2 linked regions of the Stegostoma tigrinum genome follow. The protein of the gene in region 1 interacts with the protein of each later gene in a pairwise test. Links are inferred from orthologs where the notes say so. Each region holds a gene or a part of one and is shown on either strand. Other genes may lie near its edges. The genes, in order: coiled-coil domain-containing protein 158-like and gpsm1b.

The links.
Region 2: the proteins of coiled-coil domain-containing protein 158-like (region 1) and gpsm1b interact in a two-hybrid assay, tested with the Homo sapiens proteins (2 studies listed by BioGRID and IntAct). The link is inferred for Stegostoma tigrinum from reciprocal best matches to the Homo sapiens genes CCDC158 and GPSM1.

The regions. Positions count from the first base shown.
Region 1 is NC_081354.1:76,627,553-76,640,455, forward strand, and holds the start of coiled-coil domain-containing protein 158-like, read right to left. Parts: upstream 5,910-12,903; 5' UTR 5,309-5,909; coding exon 5,197-5,308; intron 1-5,196.
Region 2 is NC_081382.1:38,895,046-38,908,195, forward strand, and holds the start of gpsm1b (G-protein-signaling modulator 1b), read left to right. Parts: upstream 1-6,828; 5' UTR 6,829-6,994; coding exon 6,995-7,158; intron 7,159-13,150. UniProt on the Homo sapiens protein: Guanine nucleotide dissociation inhibitor (GDI) which functions as a receptor-independent activator of heterotrimeric G-protein signaling.

The sequences.
Region 1 (12,903 bases):
AATAAGAAAGGCTATCCACTGACATAATTGAAGCTTTTCATGAACCACTTAAAGAGGAGCCAGGGGTCAAAAACAATTCAGAAGACCCAGACCAGTAGACGTGCTGCTTAGCTGACTCAAAGTAGTTACAGTCTCCACTTTTTAAACTTGAAGCTCAGTCAGCAATGTCCAGAAGTTTGCCTGTCTCTCAGGGAAAGACAGTAATAGAAAGAATCACATCTGAACAATGAAAGTTGCCGAAAGAAAATTCTTACTCACTGGCAAGGTTACAAGGTAGTAGTGAAATAAAATGAGAATGATACTTCACAGGAATTGAGTCTGTAAGAGGATCTTTTTGGGGTAAAAAGGTGCAGTTCATGATGAGATCTATCTAAATTGTCATTGATAAAGCTTCGTTTTCCCCCTTTGCGTGTAATAAACTTGTGTTCTTTTATTAAAAGCACATTAGCAGTCTCGTGACTATTTCAGTGACTGACCACCACAGTAAACAAATTGCAAAACAAAAAACTTACGTTCTAATAAGCCACGATTCACTCTAGAATCTGACTTTTCTAGTATTACCATCAGCTGGATACAAAGTAGGAGCTCTGGGAGAGAAAACCACTGAAGATCTGTAAAGAATCGAGTGCATGACGATACTGTGCACAAAAGCAGGACTTGTTGGGAAGTATAGTACAAAGATTGGAATTTCAAAATAAATTTGACTGTTCCAAAGATTTTTCTTGCGGTAGAAAATTTAGGACCATAAGACCATAAGACATAGGAGTGGAAGTAAGGCCATTCGGCCCATCAAGTCCACTCCGCCATTTAAATCATTTAACAATGAATTAATTGAAATCTTTGACGAAAGCTAAACTGAGAGAAATAATGAATTAAGAAAAACAGGATCTCGATAAATGCGATAAATGTCTGAATTATTAATTTACAAGCAAAGGAGGTAAATCTGAATTTCATCACTAGTAGCAGCTAGGATTCAGTTTAAAACTAATCAAACTCCAGTTTATGTATCAGGAAAATGTAGGCTAAAATACTAAAAGATTGATTGACCAGGATTACATTAACATAGTCAAGTTTTACCAGGCAGATTCAGAATCATAGAATACCTACAGTGTGGAACCAGGCCATGAGAGAATGTAGACACAGAGAGAATGTGCAAACTCCATACAGACAGTCTCCTGAGGATGGAATCGAAACCAGATCCCTAGCGCTGTGAGGCTGCCGTGATAACCAATGCACCACCATGCCACCCATTTGTTTTGTTGTGGGGGAAATATTAGCCAACTAAACTTATGCGTTTAAATCTAACATAAGCTTTTGAAAACCTATTTAGCAAATCTTACTAATTTGTGAAGGACCCCAATCTAAAAATAGAATTGGGCATCAGTATCTTTTAACATTTCAACAGACTTTCTGAGGCAGTGGCTTTTGCAAAAGAAACAGCAAAAATGGTGTTGGAAACCTTTTTTTAGGAACGCGATGTGAATTACTCAAAAATAACAATTGTACCAAGGATTAAATTTAATGTCACAAATGGTCAAAGGAATAATATTTTGGGAATAAACTTATTTATATCTTTAGTTAATCAACCACAATCTCAAGGAACATTGCAAACCTGGCATCAACCATTAAAGCATGATTACAGATCATGACTGGGATAAGGGAATTCCATTGTTACGGTTTGCCATTAGGGATGTACCTATTGTGTCTACAGGATTCATTCATTTTGAAAAAAAATGTGGAAGAGGTGTGAGTTCACCTTTAAATTAGTGCTTTCTTTCAGTTAACCAATGAAAGTCTTTAACAATCTGTTTTCCTTCTCTCTTACTAGTGTATTTTCATATCCCATTCTTACTTTCCTTATTCATCTCAAATATCCTTTGTAGCTATAAAATAAGGAAAACTGAATCCTAGACTTACAAGTCTTCCTGGCAACATTATAAATCTCTGGTGAGTGAAAAGTTAAAGTAGTAGGTTTGTCATTGGTTGAATCCCCACCCCTCCATGAGGTTTTAAATTGTTCAGGCAATCTAAGTTTTCTGCAACAACTAATTTTATTTACATTTTTGCCAACGGTCATCTAGCTTTTAATCATATTTCTCAACCTGATTTAGCCCAATTGCTCCTTAAGTTTGCTTTGCTCAGTTTGAAGAACAGAGTTTCAATCAAAACTAAATCACTCAAACTCACCATTGAGCTCTCATGTTGTAATCACTCTTCCTCAAATTGGTTTACTGCAAGTTACCGATTTTTTTTGGTTGCATAATACCAGAAGTAAATAATTCTCTGTCCAAATCGATTGCTCAAAAAAAATTGATCATGAAAACTACCTTATATGCATTCCATTAACTTGTCCTCCATACTATAATTTAAAATTTGATTTATCTATTCTAAATAAAGATTAAAATTCATGCTTAATATTTTACCCTTGTTGCATTACTTTGAATACTTTTCAGAACATAACACATGGAATTAATGGCACAAAGACAGATTAATGGTTACGATCTCATAACCATTACAGAGCTATGGTTTAAAAGGAAACCCAAGTTGAGAATTGAACATTCAAGGGTATGCGACCTTTCGAGAAAACAGACAGGAAGGGAAGAGAATGGAGGGGTGGGGGTGGGATGGCTTTATTAGTACGAGATGAAATTGCTACATTGGTAAGAAATTACCTTGAATCAGAAGATATTGAATTCAGATTGGAGGAGGTAAGAAATAGAACGGGAATAAGTAAGACACTGGTAGGAGTTGTCTATATGCCGCCTAACAGTAATTGTTCTATAGGTCAGAGGATAAATCAGAAGGTAAAAAGGCACTGTACTAACCATAGGAGACCTTAATCTACACATAGACTGGAGAAAAATCAAATTGGCAGAGTGGCTGAGAGGAAAAATTCAAAGTGCATTTGGGACAGTTTTCTAGAACAATAAAAAAAGACTGTGGCCCAATAAGACTGTGCTGGCACAGGGTACTTTTCGCTGCTATGCGGTCGATATCTCTCATTTGCTGGCCTTTTCATCTATCTGTCATGACGACTCTTAAATGTTGTATCTGCCTCCACTACTTCCTCTGGCAAAACATTCCAGAAAGGTACCACCATCTGCATGAAGAAATTTGCCTCTCATTTCCTTTAGACTTATTCCCTTTTACCTTAAACCTACATCCCCAATTAATACTTCTACCCCTGGGAGGAAAAAAAAAGGCTCTGACTATCCATTTTACCCACGCCTCTACCAAGTTTGTAAACTCCTGTCAGACCACCTCTCATCCTTTGGCATTTAAGTCAAAACAAACCACATTTTCCCAATCTCTCCTCATAGCTAATACCCTCCAAACCATCCTGGTAAACCATTTCTGTATCCTCCACAAAATCTCCACATCGTTCTGCGAATGTGAGTATCAGAACTGTGCACAATATTCTGAATGTGGCCTAAAGTTCTGTGTGTTATGGATCCAAACAGGGATCAGTCTCTTTTGTATCTAATAATGAGTAATGAGGCCACTTTAACAAATGATCTGAGGACAACACATCCCTGGCAATCGTGACTGTACCAAGGTAGAGTGTCGCATTTAGTTTGAGAAATGGAAGCTTGGGCCAGAAACAACTGTGCTAAACTTCAATAAGAGTAATTCTGTGAGATTGAGAACAAAGTTGGTTGCTGTGGACTGGAAGAGGAATTGAACTGAAAAAGGCAGTTGATGAACAAGGGAAAACATTTTTAAAAATAAGTTCATGACTCTCAGCAAAGATAATCCCGGTGAGGAAAGTTGATACTAGGAAAGGAATACACCGATAATGATTAACCAAGGAAGTTAAAGACTGTATTTTTTTTATTTCAATTTGAAACAGTACACCAAAAGATTTGTGGTAAATCAGAAGACTGGCATTCAAAATGTTCCCAACAGAAGATGATTAAAAAAGTGCAGAAAATAAACTGAGGGCAACTAGCAAGTAACATAAAAACAAAAATGTGACTAACGGAATAGAGGGGCTCAGTGAATATAGGCCCTTTACAGAGCAAGTCTGGGGAAATGTTAATGGGGTGCCAGGAAACGGCAGAGGAGTTGAGAAAATATATTGCATCCGTCTTCAATGTAGAGAGTGCTAATAGCATAGCAAAAAAAAAGCAGGGAGTGAGGGTTTGGACTGGATAAACACAATAAATATCACTACGGAAAATGGATTACACAAATTAATGGGACTAAAGACTGATATGTTCTTGAAGCTGCTGGGTTGTATCCCGGGATTTTAAAAAAACACAACTTTAGAGAGCAGATACACTTAGAATAAATCTTTCAAATCACCACAAGCACATTCATACCATAGTCCTTTCAAAATAAATCCATTACATGCTACCTTTTCATAATTATTTTTAGAATGGCCAAACATATTTGCACATCTATTGCACAACCTTCTTCAAACCTTTCTGCTACTTTCAAAAATATAATCAAATCAGTCAGTTGCGATTTGCTTTAAAACTGTACTGGTTGCCCTTTATTAAACCTGCCTCAGAGGTCCAGGTGAATTAACGACTCATTCAAAAGACAGACACGGCCTCTTGGTGAAAGGAAAACCTTGGTTTCTTTTTTAAAAAATGAGTAGTAAGAAACAAAAGCTTGGAGTGAAGGTACACTCACTAGAATTCGGAAACCTGCAGCGCTCCAACACTAGCTTTTCCTTACAGCCTTCCATAGGATCACAAGAGTTTTTCTAGAAAAAAAATCAATCAGGGGATTTGGGCCAGCATTTATCACCTAATCCTAACTGGCGTTGAGAAGCTTTGTAGAATTGCGGCCTGGTTTCAGACAGAAAGTGTGATCAGAGATAATGGGAACTGCAGATGCTGGAGAATCCGAGATAACAGTGTGGAGCTGGAGGAACAGAGCAGGACAAGCAGCATCTGATGAAGGGTCTAGGTCCGAAACGTCAGCTTTTGTGCTCCTAACTTGCTGCTTGGCCTGCTGTGTTCATCCAGCCCCACACTTTGTTACCTCAGACAGAAAGTGCTTCTCTTTTGCTCCTCCTACCCGAACAATATCCAAATAGCCAGCACTCATGCACATGGATATTTACATGTCGCAGCGCCCTCTCTGATTAGACAGGCCCACAGCTCACCCTCGGTTTACAAAGCGCCGCGTGAATTAAAACAAGTGAAAGAAAATGTCCTCACAGGGAGTTCATCACGAAATACTCACTTGCGAACGATCTGGAGACTGCTGACAAATCGAGGGACGATCTGCCGGTCAGTGCCGCAATATCGCCACAGGGCGCTGGGTTCTCCTCCGCTTCAGTTTCACAAACGGACATTTTTTTGTTTAAAAATAAACTTTAGGCGATTTTATATAAAAAAAACTTTTGAGGCATTAACGTTGGCTGACTTAGAAAAATACGCATTTACAGTAAATAAATATAGGAATCTATGTGATTATTTATTTAAAACAAGCAAGTTCAGCTAAAAAATATATATTTAGGATAAGACTGTGACTTTAAGATAATACAAAAAAATAAGCTGTTGACTAATTGTGCGCGCACACGGAGGTTTCGGAGGGCTTCGGTTAAAACGCCACCTGTCGCCCCTGGTTACAGTAGAAGCCTTTCTTGCCTCTAGCTCTATCCGAGCGGTCACCGGGGACCTCCCCCGCCTGCTGCGTCAGTCACCGCCGCTTGGCCTGATCGCTCCAAAGTCCCCGGGAACCGGCTGCCGCGGGAGAACAAGCGGCAGAACGCCAACGGGCTTCCAACGCTTCGTATCTTAGCAACCGCCGTTCCTACGCCCAGCAGCTCTGTGAAGTGACAATAGACCCCCCAAAAATAAACCACAACCGCTGTGACGTCACAAAAAGACGGCCGCTGCAGGGATTCCCAGCTCAAGCAGGTGGCAGTGCCACTTAACCTGCCCTTGCGGAAGTGTTGTATACATCCACAAAACACTAACGTGGCCCCCAGCTGAACACTTTAAAACATGAAGATTTGACGTAGGAAATCCCTTGAGGTTTGAGGAACGTATTTGGACTATTAACTATCATGATCACGGGCAATAAGAATTGAAACTGGTGCCTCTTAATGTTTGGATGCTGGTGAATCTCTGGCGCTCTTGATGGCGTTACGTTTTAGAAAGCGAAATGTAGAGGCAAGTGGTCAACACCCCATTGACTCTTAGCATTTTTATTTGCTCCATGATCCTGCCTGAACTCTGACATTTGTTTGCCGAATTATTGTGATTGGTCGATAATTAGCAAAACAATGGAAGGCTTAATGCATGTGCCATTACTGGAGTGTAAATTGTACAGCAATTGTTTTTGTCATAGAGCTGAAATGGTGTGAATTGTGAATCACCTGAAATTGCCCCAAGATATGTACTCTCCCGCTAATAGTTATGTGGAAATGATAACAAGGATGACTGTCTCCTTGTTAATTTCAAGTTATTACTATAATTAAATATTCGTTACAGATTAAATTTGTCGCTGAAAATCAGGGTTGGTACTTATCAACGTAATTCCACGATTTATATTCTCATAATTGTCTAGTCTAGAAAGGGAAAATATGAAATGTTTAAGTCTCGTTACGGGAAGTAGTAATTTGATCCTTAAAGTTTTTAAATCAGAATTTATTTTCATTGTTTTACCTTTTCTGTCGTTGTGTTCTCTATTAATGTCATCTTTATTTCCCGTTGTATGTTTCTATTTCCGTTCTTGACTTGATTTTAAATCACAGTTTCTTCCTTTGTCATCTCTCTGATTCCGTAACCATTGGTATATCTGATCAGTTAAGGGCTCAGTGCGGTTGTTTGTCAAAGTCCCAGGTACCCCTTTAACAACGCAGTAATTTGCAGGGCAGCAACATTTTGAGCTGAAGATTGGGATAAACATTAATGAATGGAGTTCACTCCAGCAAATTCTGGACCTGCAAAACACCTAATAGTCATGGGTCAATCCCCAGTTAAATCAAGGCATTGAATATGCTGGTTTTAGCCTCTGAAAATGCCACTACCTCATAGATCATTGCAGATTGGTACCAGTGAGTAGAGGAATCAGATTGATCAAAGCAGATGCCACACTTTTGAAGGTTTTATGTAAGGCAAATGTGAATGATTCTTGTACATGTTTCTTACTCTTAAATGCTATAATTGAAGAAAGAAGAATAATCATAAAACTGTATGTATTGTCTCTGGAATAATTGTTTTCTGCAATGACATCAGAAACAATTTCATGAGCAGTCAGATAACGTACAGCACTTTTCCCAAGGTTCATGCATACGAACTATAGCCTTGTGATACACTGTCATAGAAAAACTGTCCTCAGGGAAATATTGCCCTTATTTATAATCTTCCTATAGTTTTCTGTCGAATTACAAACAAATGTTCACCAAAGGAAACCGTCAAGTGATTCGATACTGCTGTGATGTTGTGAATTTACAGGTTTGTGTGGCACAGAACGAAGTTATTCAACGTATTATGGCTGTACTACCCCTCTGAAACAGCTATTGAATTAGCCACACTCCCCAACCCTTTTCCATGGTACTGCAATGTTTCCTTCACACACATACACACACAAACACACACATATTTCTTTTTGAAGATTACAGTTGAATCTGCAACTACTTGTAATTGAAGAAAGAATAATCCATAAAACTTTATGTAATTGACTCTGAGATAACTCTTTTCTGCATTGATATCAGAAACAATTTCATAAGCAGTCAAATAATGTACAGCATTTTTCCCAAAATTCACTCATACCATGACCTCCCAATGCAGAACTGAAAGAGTTGTATTGTCAGAGGGGCTGACTTTAAATGAAACATTAAACCAAGATTGCATATGTTTTTGGAGTTTTCCATACAAGATCCCATAAAACTATTTTGAAAGGAAAGTTACACGTGGTGCTGTGGCCAATATTTGCGCTTTGATCAACATGCCACCAACACGGTGTTGATCATTGTTACATTACTGTTTCTGGGAACTTGCTATATGAAAATTGTCAGACACATTTCTTATATCATATTGTGATTGCAACCAGCATTAATTCATTGGCTAACAAAGTGTGAAGCTGGATGAACACAGCAGGCCAAGCAGCATCTCAGGAGCACAAAAGCTGACATTTCGGGCCTAGACCCTTCATCAGAGAGGGGGATGGGGAGAGGGTTCTGGAATAAATAGGGAGAGAGGGGGAGGCAGACCGAAGATGGAGAGAAAAGAAGCTGGTGTGGCTACCTCTACATTGGGGAAATCAAGCAGAGGCTTGGGGACCGCTTTGCAGAACATCTCCGCTCGGTTCGCAATAAACAACTTCACCTCCCAGTCGTGAACCATTTCAACTCCCCCTCCCATTCTTTAGACGACATGTCCATCATGGGCCTCCTGCAGTGCCACAATGATGCCACCCGAAGGTTGCAGGAACAGCAACTGATATTCCGCTTGGGAACCCTGCAGCCCAATGGTATCAATGTGGACTTCACAAGCTTCAAAATCTCCCCTTCCCCCACTGCATCCCAAAACCAGCCCAGCCTGTCTCCGCCTCCCTAACCTGTTCTTCCTCTCACCCATCCCTTCCTCCCATCTCAAGCCGCACCTCCATTTCCTACCTACTAACATCATCCCACCTCCTTGACCTGTCCGTCTTCCCTGGACTGACCTCTACCTCCCCACCTATACTCTCCTCTCCACCTATCTTCTTTTCTCTTCATCTTTGGTCCGAGTCCCCCTCTCTCCCTATTTATTCCAGAACCCTCACCCCATCCCCCTCTCTGATGAAAGGTCTAGGCCCGAAACGTCAGCTTTTGTGCTCCTGAGATGCTGCTTGGCCTGCTGTGTTCATCCAGCTTCACACTGTAATCTTGGATTCTCCAGCATCTGCAGTTCCCATTATCATTAATTCATTGCTGTTAAATTCTTAGAGACCCCTGAGGTCATGAAGTGCTATCTATGTTAATCCTCCTTAAATTACTTTGCAATTGAAATAATGATCCCTGCTTCTCCATGCATCAAAAGTCCCTCATCACTGGTGTCATCCTGATAAATCTCTCTGCATCCTCTCTTAGGCCTCAATATCTTTATCTTGTAGTTACTAAGTTAATCATTGGGACATAAAACTCAACTTTTATAAATATTTGTAAACAAACAATATACTGAAATTGGAGATTAATCACAGTTTAAAATATAATTGACAATTTGCTCCCATAGAGTGTTTAATTTTACAATCTAAAGATTGAAATTCCTACCAAAATCTCCAACTGAAACTGCATATGTACTAGAAGTAGGATTAGACCATTAAATTTCTTTTGCCATTCAATTATATAATGGTGGATCTGATTGAATTAATTCATCATTGTCTATCTTTCTCCTTGTTACACTGCTTTGTTCACTGACAGACATTCCAATTATTTACTGAGTAAATTTTGTTAGGAATGTCCACTTGATGATCAGGGAAGATCAACTTTGCAATGACTTTGTCATTAGAGCAATGTCCTCTGTGCCTGTTTGGGGATTACATAATGCATATATATATAACATATTCAAAGAAGATGTGGATATTCTTCTGTACAATATTTGGGCCTCCAAAGAGAATTATTGTCACACATTTCAGTTTCTGTTTGTTGGACCGTGTTATATAGAAAATGATTGTGGTACTTCCCAACCTAACCACAGTAAAAGTAATTAGTTTTGAAGTGCTTTGGGGCATGCTGACAGTGTGTATTAGATAAATGGAAATTTGTCCGTGATGAAATAGGTAAGATAAATTTTCTTTAGATTACTTGTTAGTCTTCCAGAGCAAGGAGTTGCCCTCAACTGAGTGTTACATGCTTGCACATTCCAAGGCCCAGGACTACATGCTGAGAAACGCACTAAAGCTTGGGTAGTTGCTGCCAAGGCACAGTGGGAAAAGACCACTCTCTAAGGTCTTTCTGCTGAAACTACATGGAAGTCCATTAAGTTATTTGACTATCCAGGTCCCTCAAGTATATGTAAATATAGTCTTGTACATGTAAGAAATGCAGTGAGTTTGTTTGTTATGAGATTATTAGAGTCAAACTGCAGTGTTTGTTTGTTTCATCATGTGCCACTGTATGGAACTGAACTACTATATTTATTATGTATATGAAGATATTTTTATGAATAAAGTATATTTTTGAAATAAAAATCATTTCTTTGTTAAGTTTAGTATTACATCTTGTTCCATGGAAATTCTGTGACAAATGGTAACTTCTGCTAAAGTCCAGTCAATCACTGTCCAGTTCAAGTGGCAGCAAAAACCTATTGCTTTGTGTAATAAAACAATGACCAGCAATAAAAATTAAGTCAACAAATATTTTTCACCCCCAAAACACAAACCAAGATAACTTATGGCTCTTTCTAAAAGCTCAGTTTTTCATTATCTGTTAGAATTCCATTTCATAGATCGTACTATCCCTGCAATGTGGGAACAGGCCATTGAGCCTAACAAGTCCACAACACCCCTCTGAAGAGCACCCCATCCTGACTCATTCCCCTACCCCTGCATTTCCTCATGTCTAACTCAAACATCCCTGAACACTATAGGCATTTTAGCATGGCCAATCCACCTAGCCTGCACCTCTTTGGACTGTGGGAGGAAACCAGAGCAGCCAGAGGAAATCCACGCAGACTCAGGGAGAACGTGCAAACTCCACACAGACAATCGCCCAAGGGTAGAATTGAACCTGGGTCCCTGCCGTTGTGAGGCAGTAGTGCTAACCTCTGAGCCACGATGCCACCCTTGTTGACTTATTATTCTTTTAAGCTGCAGCCATCAATTTGTCATAGGTAATTACATCCTGCTGTCAGTGATACTGTTTTGCCTCAGGTTTAAAACTCCCAGCCTGCTTCTCAATCTACTGCGACCCTTCCCAATTAATTATATATAGTTTTAACCACCAACTGAATATATGACTTTAAAATGACAACTGACAGATCTAGGTTTACTGGTTCACTAATGGCCTGTTCTGTTGCTTTCATTTGGTGAAAAGATTGTCTTGGCCTTCCCTGTGCTGTACCCAAGGAAAACAGAACTATATAAAAACAATGACTTCAGGTGCAAATATGACTTAAAAAAAGGAGATGCTTATTATTAATAACTTGATAATTGATGTTCACATTTACAAATCCTGTATTTATCTCAGTCAAGTTTTGTTTACAAATAAAGTCAGCATAATTAATTAATAACCTGATAACACAACTGTAGGGATTTAAGAAATGTCCACCTTGAAACTGTAAATTAGTTATCAAGTCATTAATTATAGAAAACAATAAATATTCTGTTTCCTATTGGAAAGCCAACTCCAGCAGTACTACCTCCCCTGCATCACTTCCAGCCCTTTCCCCCTCTAATGCACCCGTCCTGCTGGTCATATTTGTAGATTTTATTTCTATTTGATTTCACCAAACTTATGTTTTCCAATCTTTTCAATATTAATTTGAATAATATTCAAAATTTGTCTGTTGCAGTTCCTGTTGTTTATTTTGGGTTCAGATGGAAAACTAAGAGTGATGGTTAATTGTTATTTATCAGACTTGGAAATGGTCAACTGTGGTACTCCTTGAGGATGACTACACTTTTTAAAATAGCCTTCTTTTACAACATGAGTGTACTGAGGTGAAAATCACACAGAAAATTTCCTTGAAACCAGTATCCTGTATCTCTAGTTTTGATTCAGAACAGTGAAATATCAAGGTGTATGTCACTAACATAGAACATAGAACATTACAGCACAGTACAGGCCCTTCAGCCCTCGATGTTGTGCTGACCTGTCATACCGATCTCAAGCCCATCTAACCTACACCATTCCATGTACATCCATATGCTTGTCCAGTGACGACTTAAATGTACCTAAAGTTGGCAAATCTACTACCGTTTGGAGAATCTACTACCGTTGGCGAATCTACTACCGTTGGCGAATCTACTAGGACAGTCATTGACTGTTAAGGAACTGGAAATAACTTGATAAATGTCAGAAACATATTTTTAAAAGTAATGCTATCAAGACATACAATACATCAATAATAACTACAGTCTAAAATTAAATTCTGTACTGATAGTTTGAGGGAATTTATAACTTTGAGCACATTAAAAAAGGTCTACAAAATCATGAGGGGTGTAGACAAGGTGGATAGCAAGAAGCTTTTTCCCCAGAGTGGGGGACTCAATTACTAGGTGTCATGAGTTCAAAGTGAGAGGAGGAAAGTTTATGGGAGATATGCGTGGAAAGCTCTTTATGCAGAGGGTGGTGGATGCCTGGAACGCGTTGCCAGCGGAGGTGGTAGACGCAGACACGATACTGTCTTTTAAGATATATCTGGACAGGTACATGGATGGGCAGCGAGCAAAGGGATACAGACCCTTAGAAAATAGATGACAGATTTAGTCAGAGGATCTCAATCAGCACAGGTTTGGAGGGCTGAAGGGCCTGTTCCTGTGCTGTAAATTTCTTTGTTCTTTGTTCTTAGTTGTTAATTATATTCTGTATATATTTACTGTTGATATTCAGAATAGAAGTGAATTCAATTATGGTTTTATGTTTTGGATGCACTCTTTAAGTAAAGAAGAAGAAAGGGACAAAAGAATTACAAATTAATCTACATCTGGTTGCTTTGAAAGGAAATTATTTTTCTATAATAGTTTTACCATCGAGGCAGTGGTTGTAACAATACTGTAGCACTACAATAATGCAGCACTTTGTGATGTCTCTGAAATAACTTTTATTGGTCACAAGACAATACCAGTTCTGATTTTAAAAATGCCTGGTAGTCAGAACAATGGATATTACATCAAAGGACTTCCTTGATCGGAAATGGAAATGTTCTGACGTGTCTTTTGGTGCAACACAAACAAAATGGGTTACTACTGGCAAAATAACGGGTGGAAATTGAAGTTTGTCAGTTAGAATTACTC
Region 2 (13,150 bases), on another chromosome or scaffold:
GGAGAAGAAATTCTTCCACATCTATATCAAATGGAAAACCCCTCTATTCTGAGATGATGCCTTCTAATATAGACTCTGCAGCAAGTGGAAATGGCCCTCCTCATCCACCTTGCCAAGCTGCTAGGGGGATTGTGATGGTGCTCCTCGTCAAGTTGGTCACGAAAGGCACTGCATAAATGTATTTCATAATGTTTACACTCCTTTCTCAATCCCATTTATTAGTATTCTTGCTCTCCTATCAGGGTCTCCCGGGCATATTCTGCATGTACTCTATATGGCACCATTCATGATCTTGATCAATTCCAAAGCGCTACTTGGCAAATCAAGTATTTTTGGAATGCAGCTGTTGTTAAATTGTAGGAAGTGAAGTTCCCACTTTGCGTGAAGTGAACTCTGTCAAACAAAGTGTGATGCTGGCCAGTGATAATGGGAACTGCAGATGCTGGAGAATCCAAGACAATAAAATGTGAGGCTGGATGAACACAGCAGGCCCAGCAGCATCTCAGGAGCACAAAAGCTGATGCTTCGGGCCTGGACCCTTCTTCAGAGAGGGGATGAGGTGAGGGTTCTGGAATAAATAGGGAGAGAGGGGGAGGCGGACCGAAGATGGAGAGAAAAGAAGATAGGTGGAGAGGAGAGTATAGGTAGGGAGAGGATAGGTCAGTCCAGGGAAGACGGACAGGTCAAGGAGGTGGGATGAGGTTAGTAGGTAGGAGATGGGGGTGCGGCTTGGGGTGGGAAGAAGGGATGGGTGAGAGGAAGAACAGGTTAGGGAGGCAGAGACAGGTTGGACTGGTTTTGGGATGCAGTGGGTGGAGGGGAAGAGCTGGGCTGGTTGTGTGGTGCAGTGGGGGGAGGGGACGAACTGGGCTGGTTTTGAGATGCGGTGGGGGCAGGGGAGATTTTGAAGCTGGTGAAGTCCACATTGATACCATTGGGCTGCAGGGTTCCCAAGGTTGCAGAAAAGCCAGGCCCCAAGATGACTTTCCACATTAAGCAGAGGTTCACCTGCACATCTGCCAATGTGGTATACTGCATCCACTGTACCTGGTGTGGCTTCCCCTACATTGGGGAAACCAAGCGGAGGCTTGGGGACCACTTTGCAGAACACCTCCGCTCGGTTCGCAATAAACAACTACACCTCCCAGTCGCAAACCATTTCCACTCCCCCTCCCATTCTTTAGATGACATGTCCAACATGGGCCTCCTGCAGTGCCACAATGATGCCACCCGAAGGTTGCAGGAACAGCAACTCATATTCTGCTTGGGAACCCTGCAGCCCAATGGTATCAATGTGGACTTCCCCAGCTTCAAAATCTCCCCTTCCCCCACCGCATCCCAAAACCAGCCCAGTTCGTCCCCTCCCCCCACTGCACCACACAACCAGCCCAGCTCTTCCCCTCCACCCACTGCATCCCAAAACCAGTCCAACCTGTCTCTGCCTCCCTAACCTGTTCTGCCTCTCACCCATCCCTTCCTCCCACCGCAAGCCGCACCTCTATCTCCTACCTACTAACCGCATCCCACCTCCTTGACCTGTCCGTCTTCCCTGGACTGACCTATCCCCTCCCTACCTTCCCACCTATACTCTCCTCTCCACCTATCTTCTTTTCTCTCCATCTTCGGTCCGCCTCCCCCTCTCTCCCTATTTATTCCAGAACCCTCACCCCATCCCCCTCTCTGAAGAAGGGTCCAGGCCCGAAACGTCAGCTTTTGTGCTCCTGTGATGCTGCTGGGCCTGCTGTGTTCATCCAGCCTCACATTTTATTGTCTGTGATGCTGACCAGACTTGCTTGTCTAATGTTGATTGAGGAATGAATATTGACCTGGACCCTGAGAGGACCTCTGCTCCTCTTCCAAAATACTGCCTGCAGAAACTCTTACATCTGAGGCTGTACAGGACATCGGTTAGGTCACTTTTGGAACACTGTGTTCAATTCTGGTCTCCCTGCTATAGGAAAAATGTTGTTAAACTACCAAGGGTTCAGAAATGATTCACAAGGATGTTGCCAGAGTTGTTGGAGGGTTTGAGCTGATAGAGAAAGAGCTATAGACTCAGGGTATATTCCCTGGAGTGTCGAAGACTGAGGGGTGGCCTTATAGAAGCTTATAAAATCTTGAGGGGCATGGATAGGGTCAGTAGTCAAAGTCTTTTTTGCCAGGGTCGGGGAGTCCAAAGCTAGAGTGCGTGGGTTTAAGATGTGGGGGGAGGGGAAAGATTTTAAAGGGACCTAAGGGACAACTTTTCCACGCAGAGGGTAGTTCATGAGCTGCCTAGAAATTGGAGGAAGCTGATACAATTGCAGCATTTAAAAGGCATCTGGATTGGTTATATGAATTGGAAAGGTTTCGAGGGATATGGGCCAAATGCTGGCAAATGGGACTATGTTAATTTTGGATAAGTGGTCGGCATGGATGAGTTGGACTGAACTGTCTGTTTCTGTGCTGTATATTTCTATGACTTTGAGAGCAGATGGGATCTGGGAATAGCATCCTATCTCTCAGATGGTGGCCCTTTTTTTTTGTCTGGATTGTGACTGTAAGTGCTGAGAGAACTGGGGGATAACTCTCTGAGCAGGCAAAAAGTAGGTCTGTGAAACCAGCTAAAGACATTCCTAGATAACAGAAATGCCCCTTCCTTAGCCACCTCCTTTGGGAAGTTGGCTGGCCTCCACTCCCAGTAGTATGAAAGATGTGTTGCACTTTATTTTGCTGTATGAAAATGCCCTGAAGTGAGCACAAGTAGAGTTGTCTTCAATTTCCAATGATAAACCCTAGATCTTGATTCCTGGAAAAGCCTTGAGCAGATAATTTGGAAACAAATCTTGTGGCCAACACAGCCTGAACAAAGGCAGTTAATTATTGTATCAGTTGTTGCAGATGCTGTATTTATTCCATTTCAGCATAATCTTTTTGGATATTAAGTTGTTTAATTTAAGGTCAAAATGTACACCAGGGAGGGGCTAAGTGGAAAAATGGGGCATGACCTATTTGTGGTAATTATCCTTACTGCATTTGGGGTTTTGCTGCATCAAATGGGGCATGACCTATTTGTGGTAATTATCCTTACTGCATTTGGGTTTTGCTGCATCAAATGGGGCATGACCTATTTGTGGTAATTATCCTTACTGCATTTGGGTTTTGCTGCATCAAATGGGGCATGACCTATTTGTGGTAATTATCCTTACTGCATTTGGGTTTTGCTGCATCAAATGGGGCATGACCTATTTGTGGTAATTATCCTTACTGCATTTGGGTTTTGCTGCATCAAATGGGGCATGACCTATTTGTGGTAATTATCCTTACTGCATTTGGGGTTTTGCTGCATCAAATGAACAACTATTGTTTATATTGTCACCATTAACAGTGTGGTAAACCAATCCACCAGCAGCTTCACAACATTAATTTCTAGGAAAAGTAGTTGATTCCAAACCATGGAAGATATCAGGTAATCAAAAAGCTTGATCAGAGAGCTAGGTTTCAGCGTGCGTCTTTAAGGAAGCGGGAAGAGAGGGAGTCTGGACCTTGGGATTTAGGTACTTGAAGGTACATGAATGTCAAAATGCAGTGACGTGAGTTGGGGTTTGCAAAGAGAGACAAAAGTCTTCGAAGGTTATAGGTTGCAGCAGATTGTGGAGACAGAAAAGGGCAAAGTTGAACATCAAAGCTGGTCACTGGACCAGCATTAACTCTGTGTTTTCTCCCTCGACAGATGCAGCCAGACCTGCCGAGGGGTTTCCCTCAATTTTTGTGTGTTTCAGATTTCCAGCATGTGCATTTCTTTGTTTTGTTATAGTTAAGTTGCACTTTTTATCTACAAATAATTTGAACAATGAATTTTGCATTGGTTTTGGAATGCTGAGTTGAGAACTGTCATGCTGGAGACCCAGCATAATCGAAAGGCTGGTGTTGGTTGACACTTTTTGAGGCTCTGCCCACATAAATGGCAGTCTTGATGGGCTAATTATGTTCTCTCATGCGATACATGCAGTACCTTTTTGATCTGGGCACAGCAGTCAGTGCGCTGGAGGCAGGAGCATTTGCTAAGATGCCATGAAAGGCATGTCTTTGCACAGTTGAGGTTTGGAGTTCAACCACTTGATTTGAGTGTCATTTAATAGCGATTGTTGTGTAACAACTACTCATTTTGTTTAATGTGAACTGACTGCTGTTTCTGGCACTTAATGCTGAAATTCTTTACTAGTTATTCAACAAATCCTACTCAACTACTCTACGAGGAGGAATTTGAAGGACTTTCACAAGCGTTATCAACATACCTTTAGCTGATTAGCCATCATCAATGCTGTACCATGTTCCAAAGAGAGCTTTTTTTTCATGGAATTACCTCCTGTGGAGAAGGATAATTGATATTTGCTGGGAGTAAAATGACCGAGAAAGAGTACAAAAGACTATTTTTAGTTTTAAAAACTCTTCTCAAGTTTGTATATACAATGAATGCAGTCTTCATCTAAGGTATTGAACTATGGATTCAAGCTTTTACTACTTCCTTCAAAAAGCAGAAAAATCAATGGCCTTTATTAGAAATAACAATGGAAAAGTTAAAACAGAGTGAAAAGCATAAAAAATGTAATAAAGCTAGTTTGGCAGTGAAACATGGTGCTGCAAGGAGTATTTGAAGCAAATAATTAAGATATGGGGCAGCTGATGGATATTTTTGTTGGTGGGGCAGCACAGTGGCTCACTGTTAGCACTGCTGCTTCATAGCATTGGGTCCTGGGGCCGAATCTAGCCTCGAGGGACTGTCTGTGTGGAATTTGCACATTCTCTGTGTGTCTGTGTATGTGTCCTCCGGGCTCCAGTTCCCTCCCATAGTCCAAAGACATGCAAGTTTGAGTAGGTTGTCGATGAGAAATTGCCCATAGTGTCCAAGGATGTGCAGGTTAGGTGGATTAGCTATGGTAACTGCAGGGTTACAGGGATAGCTTAGGAGGGTAAGGCTGGGTGAGATGCTGTTTGGAGGGTCAGTGTGGGCTCAGGCTGAATGGCCTGCTTCCATAGTGTTAGGGATTCTAGGATTTCTATGATACGTTTTAGTGGAAGCTAGATGCTTGCTACAAGGTGAAAAGAATTGAAGAATCGGCTCATGGATCTTGATTAAGGAAACATTAGCATGAACTGAATAGCATGTTTCTGTGCTAGAAATACCTGTATTAAAGATTGAAGTGAGAAGAATATTAGAATTTAATTATTTGTTTGGAGATGGTTGTGGCTTTTAACTTAACTGCTTTCCATCTTGTTTCCTGGTGAAGATGAAAACTTTGAAAGAGAAGCGAGAAGCACACAGCTGATGCCAAGTCAGAGCAACAACTGTGATCTCTCGCTCGCTCTCTCTCGCTTCCTTTCTATTTTCTTTTGGATACTCATCCAAATCAGTCACACTGAAATAATGCCAGATAGTGATGAGGGCTGTTGCTAAGCTGCACCTCATTGTTGCTATGTCAATGACGTTTATTTAGCATGTTATTTGAATCACCTTCTTGTCTGCTTTTCAGGGCTGTGATTTCCGGCACTAGCTTCCTAACATCTTGTTCCCTTTAAATACATATATATATCTGAGGAAGAAAGGAGTAGATGATTATTGCAGGTTTAGATGAAGAAAGATGGTATTAATGCTCTACTAAACACAGCATGGACTGGGAGGGCTGAATGGCCTGTTTCTGTGCAGGTAGCATACACTTTGTGTTGCGACCTCTGGTGTTGATGTTAAATGGTTAATTTACTTCTAACTTTTCCTTGATTATTAGGATGAATTATCCTGCTGATTTGAGCAAAACTATGTTCTATTAAGACTGCAAAACATCTGAAAATGACTGACAAGGAATGACTCGCTGCATCAGAGCGGTCCATTATTCAAGATGCCTACGCTTCCTATTTCCACCCACACCATGTCATCTGTGGGAGGCAAAAGTTGTGGGGGGAGGGGTTCAGTGGGAATAGCATCAATAGGAGTTGTAGTTACCCAAAATTGTTATCTGATCCCTTCGTATCAGAGGCCAAAAGAACCTTTGCTCTATCAGCAAACCAATTCATGATGCCATTCAGAGAGGTTGCTATGTTGCCTGCAAGCCACTGGGTAAGACCAATGTCTGAGAGGCAGAATTCAGTGAATGGGTTTGAGTAGGATTGATAGATTCCATTTCAAGATCCCACATAAGTTGAATTTCACGTCAATCATCCATTCTCCACCATCAGTTGCCTGCCTACCAACACCACCCCCCCCCCCCCCCCCAATCCATGCCCACCTTGAACCAACCACCAGGCTCTTGTGTATTTCATGAAACAGCAATTCCAAAAAGATGGCTTGTGGTAACTTTGGCTTATGTGTGAGCCCTTTGAGTCTGCTCCGCCATTCAATAAGATCACAGTTGATCTAATTGCAACCTTAAGCCCCTATTCCAGTCTATCCCAAAAACCTTTCAAACCCTTACTTAACAAGAATCTCTCGAGCCCTGGCCTAAAAATGTGCAAAGATTCTGTCTCCTGTATCTTTCTTCCTAAGACTTGGCATTTCTTCAGTATAATTTTTCTTGGCCTAATCTTGTTGCAAGTTGCTGCATGCAGATGCTGAGCTGGTAATCCGAGGGTTAACGGACACAAAGCTGATGCTGGCACTTTGCTGAATTATAGAGGATTTCTTTAGTAGCATTAGTTGGACGATGACAGCTGTGAGTCGTCATCTGTTACGTTGGGTGAGTCCATACACTCTCGTTTGAGCTTCTTGGTCAGCAGTGGTGTTCGTACATGGATAAATTGTTCCAGGAGACTGCCTGTTTGCTATAGAGGTGAGATAGAGCGGGCAACAACAATTCAATGTCAATTTTGTCGAGATTAAATTGGCTTTGTGCACCGTTGTCACCTTGTGTTCACTGTGAGTACAACTTCTGAGTTGAGAGACAGCAGCATGTATGTGTCTTGAATTTGCGTGATCTGGATATTGATCCTGTGCTCTTCATGGAGCGTTGCTTCTGCTACAATGCCAACATTACAGTTCAAAACTCAACCTTTGGGGTTCAACATGGCAGAGATGGCGGTTTCCAGACTTGTCCATCCTGGAGCAAGGCCTCGCGCTGTCCTGCTGCCAGTCAGCCTGGAGTTGTGGTTCTATGTCCAAAAGATTAAGAACATGCAAAAGAAAAGGTAAAACTGTTCTTTTTTCCTCTAAATTTTTTTTAAAAATACACATTCAAGTTAATATCTATCAGTACATATCTGTGGAAAGTTATCACTTCAACCTGAACTTTGCAGCAACAAGTATCTATGGGATGAATAAGGTTTTCAATGGGTTAAATCATTGGTTGTGATTTTTCACACACTGATGCCAAGTGCCACCAGTAATATCAGGAATTGAGATAACTTCCCTCTTTATTTCCTTCCTTCTCCACCCCGCCCCCCCCCCCACCTCTCTCTCTTTTTCCCCACCCCACCCCCATGTGTATGTATGTGCTGCTGAGAAATCTAGATCAGGTCTAGTGTTTGCCATGTACATAACATTAAGTTTGCAAAGAGCTAGAAGTGCAATTGGATGCTATGTTCATGTTGAGATATTTGTAATTGCTGGGGGCAGGGCAGCATGATGGAGTTCAATGGAGTTCAATCCTCTTCTTACTTGCTTACACTGCATATCTTTTGAAGAAGCAGACTCGTGATAATTTATCCAAAAAAAACCCAATCTCTTGGCTGTGGCACCACATAGGATGTTAGTGATGACGGTTTCTTCAATTTACCACTCAATTAAGTGGAAAATCCAAGCTGACATTCCCAAGTATGGACCTAAGGGAGTGCTGTGCTGTCAGATGGGCTCTTGTTCAAATGAAACAATGAACTGAGGGGCCGTCCATGTTGCTGAGAAGACAGGCAGGTTTTCCCTGGGATTCTACCTGATCTCAAACCAATTGGTCACTCACGTTACCATGTACAGGAACTTGATGAGTGCAAATTGACTGCTGCATTTCCACAGTGTGTCCATTTCAAACAAATGCTTAATTTGCTGTAAACTCTTTGGGCCATCCTGAAGTTACTTGAAAGTGCAAGCTGTTCCTTTTTGTCAAAATGTAAAAATCTGAAATTATGTCTGAAGTAAGTACCAAAGGAAGACTTAACATATACCTGTCTAAAATGCCCAAGCTTATGGTCACAGCCAAGGTATGATAGATTTAAATGGGATAACATATCTTATCTTAGATGGTTGCTACGGTTGCACTTCAAGCCTGAAATGAGTTAGTGTGGATTAGGATTTCCGGCTTTCTCGTCTAACCAGAAGAATTTTGTGACCACCACTCGGAAATGGCGCCAGTCACTGCTCACTGCGTTTTTGGCAGGGACCCACCATTGCCACCATGTTGCGTTTGGGTTCCATCAAGTTCAAAGTGATGAAGTGTGGAATAGGATATCGACCATTCTGTTCTAACTGCAAGAATTTTGTTGAGTGAAGAGCTTGAAATTTACTGCAATGTAGTGAGTATTTACAGCTTACATGAATATGACCTGCATTGTTGCAGAGACTTGGAGGAGCACAACAGCACTAGGTCTGCCTCCTATGAGCTGCTTCCTCACCTGGACCAAGTCCTCATGACATTATTATAGGTTGTCTTTAGTTCCATCTTAAAGAAGTTGCAGGCAACTCCAACCAGAAAGTTTTATAAATGAGTTTGCCCAGATATCCCACAATACCAAAGTGGTCAAATAAATATGGACAGAAGCCAATACCAAAGTAAAATGCTTCCAACTTTATTAAGAATAAAGTTACAATAATCTTTAATACTAAACTTATCTTTAATACTATTTGGCCCCTTAAGTTTACAATACTCTGAGTCTTTAATAGATTTACACAGTTTCTCTGTCTCTGAGTCTGCCCGGCTGCGTTCTTCCTCTCTGTCTGGATGGTTAGCTGGCCTCTGTGTCTTGCCATGCTGGCCGCCTTTTCAGAAGGCCTTAGATGATTCCAACAGCAGTTCCAACAGAGAAAGTTGTAGGTGAACCCTGCTTTTATACCTTTTTATGTGGCTTTCTGGAACTTCCTGTAGTTCTGGCCAATCAGGGACTCAGACTTAATAGTTTCAATCAAGAGTCAACAATTTAGATGGCATGCTGCTGTGTGTTTCTTGTGTAGCAGGACCCGGTGTCTTTCTGACTGGGCTCTCTGTTTAGTGGAAAAGCTGTTGGATATGTCTGTCCAGAATAACTGTTGCTTTTTACATTATGCCAATGTCATTAGCACTTGGCTGCTGTGTTTGCAGTGTGTCTGAGATGTGGATTTTGATTTCAGAGTTTTACTTGGCCAGTGTACCCAGCATCCCTTGCTGTTTGGTCAAGTTCGCAATCTGTCTGTGTGTTTTAACAGCCAGGAGACTGCTCAGTGATCTAACTGCACGCAAACAAATATTAACCCTTTCAGACCCGCAGACAGCAGTGGTAACCTGCAGCCCAAATAGTCTCACTTTAGCGACTTTGACATTTCTCAGTAAATCATCACATGGCACTAATTGCAGGACCTGATTGTAAAGATGTACTGGTAAGCTGAAACATAGATACAGGATAACATGCTGTGTCGCAGTGAATAATCACGTATAAGAGTGCGCAATTTCAGGTAATTTCAGAGCAATTTCTTTAACCCACCGACTATTGTAGGAAAAGAAAGACAAGTTTTTTTTTTCATTCACAGGAGATGGGCATCGCTGGCTGGTCCAGCATTTATCACCCAACCTTACCTGGTGGTTAATTGCCACCTTAAACTGCTGTCGTACATCGGATGAATGCCCAAAGTGCTGTTAATGACTCAGTGCAGGGTTTTGACCCAGTGATAGTGAAGTAACAAGAATATTGTTTCAAATCAGGATGGTGTCTCTTTGAGGGGAACTTGCAGGTGGCATTTCTTCCATGTGTCTGGAGCAGTTCAGCTTCTGTTCAGCGGTAATCCCCAGAATGTTGACAGTGTAAGAATCTGCAATGGCAATGCCATTGAACCAAGGTTTAGTTTAGCTCGTTGGATCATGCCATTGCTTGGCACTTATTTGGCATGAATGTTACTGGCCACTTTTCAGTTCAAGCCTGAATATTGTCCCAGCCAGGTTGTATTTGGACGTGGACTACCTCAGTCTCTAAGGAGTTGCAAGTGATGCTGAATGTTGTTCAATCATTAGTAAATATCCCAACCTTAGACCTTGGAAGTTCATTGAAGAAGTTACTAAGGGTGTTTGGGCCTAGGGCATTACCGTGAGAAAGTCCTGCAGAAATGTCATTTGGGTATGACTAACCTCCAACAATCATAGCCATCTTCTTTTGTGCAAGGGTGTGATTCTAACTAGCAGGGAGTTTTCCCAGTGCTTCCCATTGATTCTGAGCTCCTTAGTGCTATACTTGGTCAAATTCTGCCTTGTTAAGGATAGTCCCTTTCCTTTCTCCTCTGGCGCTCAATTCCTTTTTGCACATTTGTACAAGTCAACATATAGGCTTAAATTAGGCCATTGCCATGGGCAGGGATGGAGCCTGAAAATAGGCAATGAAGTTTGGTATAGAGATCAAAAGCAATGCTTTCAGTCTTTCCAATATTGTATTGGAGGAAGTGCTTGTTGTCCAGTAATGACTGACTTGAAAGTACAGAGATAGGAAGAGTGTGGAGCAGGAGAAAGACAGAACAAGAGAAGAGATCTGTGACATACATACAGGATTTACAAACTGACATGTGCTGGTCATGGTGTATGACAAACGGCAGTCCGATAGCTTGAACAAGTACATAACGAAGGAGTTGAACTCCAGAGGAGAAATGAGAGTTTCTGCCCTTGATGTTAGGACAGGGTTTGACAAAGTATGTCATCAAGCAGTGGGGAAACAAAAGATAGGTTTGGAGGAGATACATTGAAAGCAAAGCCACTTAACATGAGCACGTCTCTCAAAAACAGTGGTTATGATCAGACCTTAATGAGCTCCATAGGGAAGGTTGTAAAACGTTTATTCAAATGATGTGATGCTGTTGTGCGAGCTTACATCGGAACATCAGGAGGTAAAGGGCAAAGAAGAGTGGAAGTGGATTTGAGAACTAAAATGCCAAATGATTGAATGTTCAGGGGCACATTGAAGGCAAGTGCCCAGCCAAATGATCAATCAATCTGTTAGTCCAATAAGGAGAAGAATGTAATTTGAGCAGCAAACACCATGTTCCAAAGCCGCCTACCTGGTTGTATTTATAGCCTTTTATGTTTGAACCATAGTAGCTACTTGCCAATAAATGGCTTCTTTCAAGTACAACCTCAGGATTGATTTACACTTCCACTTGTTTTCTTGCTGAGTCTTTGCATGGAGCCAAGTTTTAAGGAAAATCTTGGTAAGCCTGGAGCTGCACTCTGGGTTGCTCTGGTGATGTGATCTTCTCAGTGTGCTCCTTAATTTGATGCAATTGAACAACTTTCTTTTGTCATTTCAACTTGTTTGTAGCCAACTTTTATTCATTCAGATACAACTTGTATTCTTAGTGCATTTCTGACGGGGTCCTGAGGCAATTCTGCAGTCAAACTTCCCAACCTCCTTACGTGACATGTAAAACAATCTCTCAACTGTTGAAAATAGTTTTGGGGTTATAATTAACTCTTTGCAAGTAAAGGTATTTTTGAGAATGTGAGGCTATAGTCTTCAAAAACTGTGTTATTGGACTCTGCCCAGTTACTAATTATTTCCTTCTTGAGTGCTGTGTGTGCTTTTACCGTGAGATTTTTACAGGGTAAGTCGCCTTATGACACTAGACAAGAAGAACGGTCTACTCAAGGCCAAAAATGGAGACTGAAAATTTACCTGAGACTGTTCGGGAAGTAAGTAAGCCCTCCAGCTAGTCAGAAGACAGTCTCAGGAGAGGCTATGGCCTAGTGGTAGTAATTCCTTGCCTCCCTCGATCTGAGGAAGGGTCACTGGACCCGAAATGTTATCTCTGATATTTTTCTTCACAGATGATGCCAGACCTGCTGAACTTTTCCAGCAACTTTTGCCCAGAGACTTTTCCCCAGGGCGGGATTGACTGCAACAAGGTGTCATAGTTTTAAGGTGTTAGGAGGAAGGTTTAGAGGAGACGTCAGAGGGAGGTTCTTCGCCCAGAGAGTTGAGTGCATGGAATAGTTTACCAGTGGTAGTCATGGAAGCGGAGTCATTAGTGACATTTAAGCGACTGCTGGACGTGCACATGGACAGCAGTGAATTGAGGGGAATGTAGGTTAGGTTATTTTATTTTTGGTTTAGGATTATTCCACGGCACAACATCGTGGGCCAAAGGGCCTGTACTGTGCTGTACTTTTGTAAGTTCTATGTTCTAACTTCTGTTTTTACCTCTGGAATTACAGTCCAGAGATTAGTACTCAGTGGCAAAGCTCCTCCAAGGATTGGAGGTGACAGTGGATTTTTCAAGATGGTGGCCACAGCAAGGTGACATCTCAGAGGAAGGCAGCCGGAGCAGGACTCTTAACGAAGCAGTGGCCTGGCCTGGCAACAGATCCAGGGACTGCTGGTTGTACTGGGCCCAGAGTGGGGCCTCCTGGCATTGGCAGGGCGGTGGCTGCAGTATGGCGTGTCCAGAGCTGGGACAATTAGTATCACTGAGGTGGCAGTGCAGCCAGGGACCCCTGGTTGTGGGGAGAGTATGGATTCAACATGGGACCTGGCTTCCGTTAATCTTTTATCCTTTTTATTTTTAAACTATTCCTTTTTATTCTTAAGCTGTTTAAAATGTTGCCAGATTGTGACGAATGTTGTAGCTATTCACCATATTATTCGCGTAAAATTCACTGCAAGTGACAATAAATAAATAATGCATTGAATCTGTGACCCAGGTTTGAATCCTGCCTTGGCAGATGGTGGAATTTGAGTTCAATAAAGATATGGAAATAAGAGCCTAGTGATGACCATTGCTGATTAGTCAGAAAAACGCATTGGATTCACTAACGTCGTTCAGGGAAGGAAATCTGAGGCCGTTACTTAGTCTGGCCTGTGTGTGACTCCAGACCCACAGCAACGCGATCGACTCTGAACTGCCCTTGGGCCAGTTAGGGATCAGCAACAAATGCTGGTCCGGCCAGTGAGCCCTACATTGTCGATGAATGAACGATAAGCTTCTGAAAAGAAGCAAACCAATCAAATAAATTGTATAGCC